Bombyx mori: one gene and its partner. The protein of the gene in region 1 interacts with the protein of each later gene in a pairwise test. Links are inferred from orthologs where the notes say so. Each region holds a gene or a part of one and is shown in the gene's direction. Other genes may lie near its edges. The genes, in order: GTPase Era, mitochondrial; trimethyllysine dioxygenase, mitochondrial.

Evidence for each region.
Region 2: the proteins of GTPase Era, mitochondrial (region 1) and trimethyllysine dioxygenase, mitochondrial interact in a two-hybrid assay, tested with the Drosophila melanogaster proteins (2 studies listed by BioGRID). The link is inferred for Bombyx mori from reciprocal best matches to the Drosophila melanogaster genes CG7488 and Tmlh.

What each region holds. Positions count from the first base shown.
Region 1 is NC_085128.1:7,078,265-7,082,691, forward strand, and holds the start of GTPase Era, mitochondrial, read left to right. Parts: upstream 1-1,565; 5' UTR 1,566-2,092; coding exon 2,093-2,281; intron 2,282-2,744; coding exon 2,745-2,869; intron 2,870-3,556; coding exon 3,557-3,731; intron 3,732-4,114; coding exon 4,115-4,297; intron 4,298-4,427.
Region 2 is NC_085119.1:4,779,506-4,784,006, reverse strand, and holds the start of trimethyllysine dioxygenase, mitochondrial, read left to right. Parts: upstream 1-1,661; 5' UTR 1,662-1,738; coding exon 1,739-1,778; intron 1,779-3,832; exon of another isoform or gene 3,833-4,015; intron 4,016-4,312; exon of another isoform or gene 4,313-4,501.

The sequences.
Region 1 (4,427 bases):
CTGAAGAGATGCCGCGCTTTGTTGAAGCGGTACGCGGGAAAAAAATATTGGGAAATTCTTTTTTCGGATGAAAATATTTTTACCGTAGAAGAGAGCTACAACAAACAAAATAATAAGGTGTACGCACACAGTAGTGAAGAAGCGAGCAACCGTATTCCGCGTGTCCAACGAGGTCATTTTCCATCCTCGCTCATGGTATGGTTGGGAGCTTCTTATTGGGGCTTAACAGAGGTACATTTTTGTGAGAAAGGTGTAAAAACGAATGCAGTTGTGTATCAAAATACAGTCCTGACGAACCTTGTGGAACCTGTTTCTCATACCATGTTCAATAACAGGCACTGGGTATTCCAACAAGATTCGGCGCCAGCTCATAGAGCGAAGAGCACACAAGACTGGCTGGCGGCGCGTGAAATCGACTTCATCCGGCACGAAGACTGGCCCTCCTCCAGTCTAGATTTTAATCTGTTAGATTACAAGATATGGCAACACTTGGAGGAAAAGGCGTACTCAAAGCCTCATCCCAATTTGGGGTCACTCAAGACATCCTTGATTAAGGCAGCCGCCGATATTGACATGGACCTCGTTCGTGCTGCGATAGACGACTGGCTGCGCAGATTGAAGGCCTGTATTCAAAATCACGGTGGTCATTTTGAATAAACTTTAGTGTCATAAGAATCTATGTTTTGTTAAGCTCATTTTGGTATATGAATGGTTACATAATGAATAAACGGAATCTATTCGGTCGGCATCTATTGATCATGACACTAATCATAAATACCTCTTTAAAATATGTCATCAAAACATATTTAGACATTCTGTTTAGATATTTCGGGAAAAAGGCTACCGACAAAATCTCTTCGGAACTATTTAAATAAAATAGTTTTATTCCGCCGTGAGTAAAACACTATTGTAAATTCGTTAAATATTTCATAATTAAGTGATTTTAGAGAGGAAGTCACAAGGAATGTCGTTTGTAATTAATGAATAAATGTTCTGTATGTGTTTTTTATTTCACGCGGTCCCTTTATAAGTTTAAAATTTGAATCACTCTCAAGTGAAAGTGATTCAAATGGTGCGGCGCACCTCCCTTGAGGTGCGCTGCGGTAGTGTGTTACGGACTTTAGAGTCAGCAAAACAATTAAAATAGATTGTAATAGTCTAAGAAAAACACGTACTTAAAATACGATAACATTTAGCATGCTGGAAATGGGCAGATGGCACTGTACTGCGCCATATCTTTATGTTTTGCGACAAACGACAACTTTATAAAATCAGTGTAGCAACTTTTAAAAATCATCACATCGTTTACTTGGCAAATTCGAAGGACGAACTTGTCTTAGATTTCATACATCTAAATCATATCATATTTGCACATAACAATATACCCACTTACTTCCCATTAAAGTATAAATTCTACAAATAAATAATACTCAACAATATTTAAAATAAAATGAGCCAAGAACGTTTATCGATAAAACCTGATAACATTGAAATCTTTTGTACAGCACTAAAACCGTCATGTTTTGTGGTCAGATGACGTCACAATGGCACAAATTTGTTGTTGACGTTTCATTTCCATAGGTTTCCTACTTCAGTGACTTTTTGGCGGGAACGCGAGGAGTGAAGTTATGTGATTTGTTTAATTTTGTTTGTTTTGTCTGTTTAGTGTTTCTTCAGGTTTAAATGTGTAATAACGGTGGTTTTTTAACTGTTTAATATCTGTGAAAGTGCACAAATGTGGGAAAATGAAACAAAGTCGCTGGACGTAACTTCTCGGGATCCTCCAAAAAGTCCACTGAAAAAATAAACTGAATAATAATCTCAGTAAATGACCACCATTTTACTGAGATTATATTTTATATTTCATCCCATATCATCTCATTTCATTTCACTACATATTATCATTTTTCATAAAAATAAGAATATAAATTAAAATAAGACATGACCTAAAGGTCTTAGTTACCAGGTCATAAAATTCCTCAAAAAAAAAAGAAATGGAAAGATAACACCTAGATTTTTAAACACATAAAATTTTTATTAATACACATCTAAATGGTTATTTGTAATTATTACTATATATCACATAATAACCATGGCTACGATTACTCGTGGGATGTGTGTTTTTAGTTATCGTAATATGCTCCCTCGTCGTATCGTTAATTATTCATTTCAACCACAACATGCTGAAAATAAAAACATAGGTAAAATCGTACATGTTGCGATTATTGGAGCCCCAAATTCAGGAAAAAGTACTTTAATAAACAAAATAATTGACCGAAAGGTGAGAATTTGAATTAACAGGCTATTATTAAATTAACGATTTAATTATTTTTTAGATAATATGTTCTTTCTTTTATGGACTTTTCTTTACAGTTCAGGCCATGTTATAATATACTGTGTTGAAACACCAAAATCCTTAAAACAATTGTATTATATATTAAATTATATTTTGTGAGGATTAACTGTTAATTGCATAATAACATTTATTTAAAATGTTATAAATATTTTTTTAATTATTTATAATGTAAATGATAACAATGTTATTTTTGTATTGGGTACCATTGTAATTTTTTGGTATATTGGTATTTATGGGAACTGATTTATGTTTATTGATACATATTAATTTATTAACTATGTGTAAAGTACTAAAATTACTATTACGTTATTGTTAGATATGTTTTTTTTTCATACACATATTGAAAAGAAAAAAAAAAACTCCTTCACAATATTGTTTTTTTCTATAGATATGTGCTGCTTCAAATAAAGTTCATACAACTACCAAATTAGTAAGAGCAATGTGTTACTGCAATGACACACAGATTGTATTTCTGGATACACCGGGTGTTGTAACTGATAGAGAACAAAAGAAGTAAGTAGCTGACAGGGCACACCTCCTGGTGGAAGAGAGTCTTGTGAGCCCACATGGGGTGGTACCAGCATGCTTATTTTCATCAAAGGCAGTAGTAATGCATTTTGACTTCAAGGATCGGGCAGTCATTGTACTATAAAACTGAGACTTATCTCTCAAAGTGGTGATGTCAATTGGTAACCACCAAAAGTACCATACAATATTCTAGATGAACTGGTTGGCACATTGTGTTGCTATTTGATCTAGCTTATAATTTAAATTGCCACATGTCTCAAATTAACCCATGTTCAGAATGATAATTGTATATGAATATAGGAAATTAATTGTTTAATAATTAAGGTAGTTAATATTGTTTTATTGTAGTGGTATTAGTAGATGGAACAGCTCAGGTTTGTTTCTTTAAAAGAAAGTACACATACTTATTCTTTTTCATTAGAATTAACTTAAATTGTATTTTGATTACCCTCAGGCAGCCACATCTTGGTATTGAAACTCTTAAAATTTTTATAGCATTTGATTAATGTGGTTTATTTTAGAGTGGGCCATAAACAAAAAAAATCTTTTCAATGAGCATTTATTTTCACAATTTCAAGCACTGTGAATTGTTTAGCATGAAAAAAAAGAATAATTTTAGTTAAATTCAATAAAATTACCTAATATCACTAACATCACTCTTTATGTTCACAGATACAACCTCCCACCTTCAATGTTAGGATCATGTCACAAAAGTCTCAGATGTGCAGATGTAGTTGGTGTTGTCCATGATGCATCATGTAAATATATCAGAGAATCTTTACACAAGGATGTTGTTGAAATGCTGAACTCTGTACAAGATATGCCAAGTTTTCTTATCATAAATAAGGTATTGTAGCGATCTCAATGATGGGAATTTAATCATAATCACAAAATTTACAAGATTTACATTAATTTTGCTTTTTGTACTATTTCCTCTTGTTTTATTATTGAAATTAAATAAATCTAACACTAAAGGAGAGATGGGATTAAAAGTTATGATTTTTTTAATGCTATTTTTACTAAAGTCAAGACGTACAATTAATTTCAAAATTTACACACGCATCAAGGACAGATGACAATAACTTTAAATTTCGCTCTAATATCTACCAGTGGGAACAGAATAAAAGAAAATAATTAATGAATTGTTACTTAGGTTTGCTATAGTGTGTTTTAGTTTTTAAGCTACACACATTTATTTTAAACTTATTGGCAAACTTTTTAATCCCTTAGGTTGATAAGTTAAGGTCAAAGAAGCAGTTATTGACTTTAGTGAGGAATCTCACTAATGGATTTATTGCTGGAAACTCTATTCCTGGTCCCACAAATCCTAATAAACAGGAGAGAGGCTTCAGTCATTTTTCGGATGTGTTTATGGTATCTGCTTTGAATGGTGATGGAGTTTCAGATATAAGGGTGAGTAAGAGTAGTTTTATAGACACTATACATTCATATTAGGGTAAATCATTACCAATATTCCTCGGTTGTATAATATATGTACATATGCATATATGATTAAGAAGTCGATTTCTAGCGTCGTTCTGTT
Region 2 (4,501 bases), on another chromosome or scaffold:
TATTCGTGCTTATAGCTAGCAATTTATTTAAAACATAATAAATTTTGATGCAAAGCCGTCCTATCCCTAATTTCACCCATAGATAACAGATGGCCTAGTAAAAATTATTTTTGCGCGTATTATTTTTGCCTACGAAACAGTGCAAAAGTTAATTCAAAACTCATTATCTCCATGTTGACTATGGCAAGACTATGGCCGCATTTGCGCTGATGGCCTCAAATGTACTATATATATAACCTATTCATATCTATTAGAGCTGATTTAAGCGATTGTTGTGTGTGTAATAATAAATAATAATAAATATCTTTTATTTTCGTATTGTTTTAAAATAACTTTTGACTATCTTTAGTGATAACAAATTTAAAACAAACTTCGGTTGGTTACTACTAACAGTGACGTCAATATCAAATCGAGAGAACACGGAAACATTAAATAATAATTAAATATCTTGACGGAGTGTTTATGTCCGGGAGCAAAAACTTAACGACGTTTGACGTCTTTGATTTTAAATAAAGCAATTTTTTTTAAGTTAAATATATATGTATGTACATATACTATGTGAGTCACCGGAACCTATAAAAAAAGTGAACATCGCTCTCTACCTTAATAAATTAGATTGTAAGCTAAGTTGCGTTGGATTAAATCATCTTTACGCTCTGCCCCTGGCATTGCTGAAGTCCATGGGCGACGGTAACAACTCACCATCAGGTGGGCCGTGCACTCGTCTGCCTACAAGGGCAATAAAATATATATTAATATTATATCTATTTAATATAAAATATATATATTGAAAGGCGAAAACAGCTATAACAAGGGAAATTATAAAAAATGCGTTTGTGAACATATTGACGTCATAATAACAGGACATACAATTATAGGCGAGTAACCTTTTTTCCTTACCTATTCGCTGGTATGGAGAGCATGGTATGGAGCTATTATTACAGCTATGCACGGACGGGCAGATGAGCTCACGGGCTCAACCTGAGAGAACTTGCTAACACTAGCCCTAGCAAGAGGAGAGCTTCGCAGAATCTACCACCGGATCGGAATGGCGACCCACTGAGAAGACTCGCCGTAAAACGCAGTTAGCTGTGAGTCAATTAGAGTTATTAGCGCTTGTCCCGCAATCGCATATAACTAGGTATATAGGAAGCGCATAAGCAGTAGTTTTACCTCAAGCACCGGTCACCGTGCTCGTCGAACCCGTCGCTTGCGACGAAGGCCTCGACGAGCGAATAAACTCATAGACACAGCCCACTGAGTGTCTCGCCGGATCTTCTCAGTCGCATTTCCGATCCGGTGGTAGATTCTGCGAAGCACCGCTCTTGCTAGGGCCAGTGCTAGCAACACTCCGGCTTGAGCCCCCTGAGCTCACCTACACGTCAAGGAGAAGCTGAAATAGCATCTCAAAGCTATTAACACAGGTAGGAGAAAAGAAAAAAAGTAAGTTTTTTAAGTAAAAGTAAGTTTTTCGTTTGTATCTGTGGATCTCGTAGGTACCGAGTGGCCGAAACAGCAGCGTTTCAATGAAAAAATAGGAACAAAGTGTGTGCACTAATTCAATTGATAGTAATCGTTGCCGTTTATTGACCCGGCTGTTTCGAACTCTATTAATCATATCGTAATTGTATTCGTCTTATTATATAATTAAATTCGATAAGCTCGTCTCGATAATTAGCACGACAGTCGTTTAGTTTCATATAAATATCAGTCGTCATGTAGCATTAGTTGAGAAAAGATGGAATTCAGTGTCGGATTCAATGAAAACAGTGCGAAAAGTAAGTTTTTTTTTACGTTTCAATAAATTAATGATCTTAATTGCTTCAAGTTTTGTATGGTAAGTAAATTAAATGTATGTTATTTTTTCCTTTATAATTTTAGATCAAGCGTTTCATTGTGGGAATGAGTTGCTCGCTCCGGGCATTTCAATATTGTAGTAATTGTTACGTTATAATAGTCATTGTAAAAAAATCATATTTAAAAAAAATCTAATATTAAAAATAATAATAATAATAATAATTTCATATTTAAAAAAAGAAAAAGACATGCCCGCTGAGTTTCTTGCCAATTCTTCTCAGGACGGATGCTAGTTCTTGTGAATTGGCGGTAATTCTTTTGACGTTCAACAAGTATGTACCTACTTTCATGTTGAATAATGTTTTTTGGATTTTATTTGATTAGTTTTTATGGAACTTGACTCTATTGTTTTTATGGCCTTTGTATACAGTCGAGCGTACAGCTCGCCTGATGGGGAGTGGTTACCGTTGCCCATGGACATCAGCAATGCCAGGGGTACAGTCAACTTCCTACCTGTCGCATAACTGTACCGTGGGTTCTCGTGTTGTATTCTCGGTCGGAGTCAGTATATTTGTTCTTGTGTTTTCTTGGGTTTTTGCGTGTTGTAGACATAATTCTAGCTACTTTTATGACTTAATATTGCATTTTTTATGGGCCTTAAATTTTTTCTGACGTTTGGAATACTCCACAGCCCTCATCGTCACAAACGACTAAGGTGTTATTCATCGATATTTAAATAATGATCACTATCTATTTTTTTTGTTTTAAAATGAATATATAGAAAAATAATATCGTGACAATACAAAAACCTGAAATTGAAACATAAAAGTAATGTTGCTAGCCTATCTAAGCTTAGTTTGAAATTTTTGCTTATAGAATGTCTCTTTAAGTGGTTTTTTCAGACACCTGAAAAAAAAATAGGTTGTAAATAATTTTAGTCACTTGAAATAAGTTTGTTTTTGTTCTTCCAATTTATTTGCCTATGAAATGAGGGCATTCGCATCGTTCGATATGAATAATGCAATGCGATGTAAAAACTAATGACATTTCTGTAAACACCAAATATCACCGCATTCCATCAGTATCTCTTGATTGATAAATTGCTTAATTAACCGATTTCATAAAGAAACATAAATCAAGTTGAATCAAATGGTTAAATTAATTCAGATAGGCATTTCTTTTTAGTTAACAATTGGTCGTATATTCCACAATGTTTTCTTAAACGCATTTTATTAAGCCTCTATTAAATACACTTTATAATGACAATATCATTGATTAAAATTTGAAATTTATGGTACAGTTGAGATTAGAACACATAACTGAAAGAAAAACTAATATACAGTTAGATAGATAATATTATGCAGCTTAAATCTTCATGCTAGGAGTTACTAAGACTACTGTATCTCAAAATCCGTTTTTTTGTCCCCGATCATCTTCGATCAACAATAGTAACTAGATAAAGGGATACGTACAAAATTAAAGCAAAAACTGTCCGCGTGAATATATACTTATATAGCTACATTCGTTTACTAACAAACGGAGAAAAAAGTTTTGAAACACTTTTACGTTCAAACTAATAACAACTATGGCACCTAATAATAAAGTCACAAATCTCTAAAACATTATCTAATACTTACGATCATTCGTCACATAAAACGAGCAAAGCAATAAATTACTCCTGTCACTTACAAATAAAAAGACATATTTTAAACAACTTTTAATGTTAAATCAATCTTAAAGGCAACAAATAAAGTAACTTTTCCCTTAATTGCTCTGAGAACTAACATCGTTTTGCTTTATTTATTTTTGCTTCTTGAAATGCCGATTTCTATTTACTACAGGAGGTAAGGGAGTCGCGCTTAACACTAAAATAATTTATTAATGAATTAAAGTAAAAGTTTAGTTGTTTACTTTTTATGTTTTGGAAATGTATGTGTGTTAGTATCTATACATTACTTATAATTTTATTAGCGTTAGGTTTTTGTGTAATATATATTTTTAAGTTTTCGCGACCAGTGCACATAATAAAACAACGTTTAAACGGTTTCAAGCGTGGTATTTTTATTACAATGTTTCGGCCACGTTTCAGTAGCCGTGAGCACGGAAGGCAAAGATGTCCAGTGTCAATAAGCGGAGATCTTAGCTGGCTTATAAAAGTCATCTCTTGTTTCTATGGCGACAATCGAGATCCATTCTGCACACGTGATTGCTAGGAAAGCTAAAATAAAAAATAGAAAGCTAAGTATCTAATGAGAGTCCAACAAACAGACACAAAAGCAGCATTAACCAATTTTAACCAACTAATTTTGAAGTGCTGCTAACAAATTTTAAAAAATTATTACAACACAAATCTACTCCATGCACTTACTGTTCTGTTAAGCAAAAGTTTGTCCATGTGTTGGCCGAGCCTTGGCCAACATTTGTAGCGGTGGTTAAAAATCGGTAATTTTGTTCAAAATTTAATATTATTTATAAGTTTAAAGCTTACAATATAGTTTATACTTCATGTACTTACCGAATGTAAGATATTCCGGCCGTTAAATTGCTTTTTCGGGCCTTATTTTTGCAACTTTTGAATACACACTGCGGTATTGTGAGACGGGTTGACATTGGCTGTGTTTGAAGTGAACTAAACAAAATAAGAGCTCACATTTCAAGTGCGCTGTTATTTGACGAGACGGATTTTATGCACCGACCCGAAATC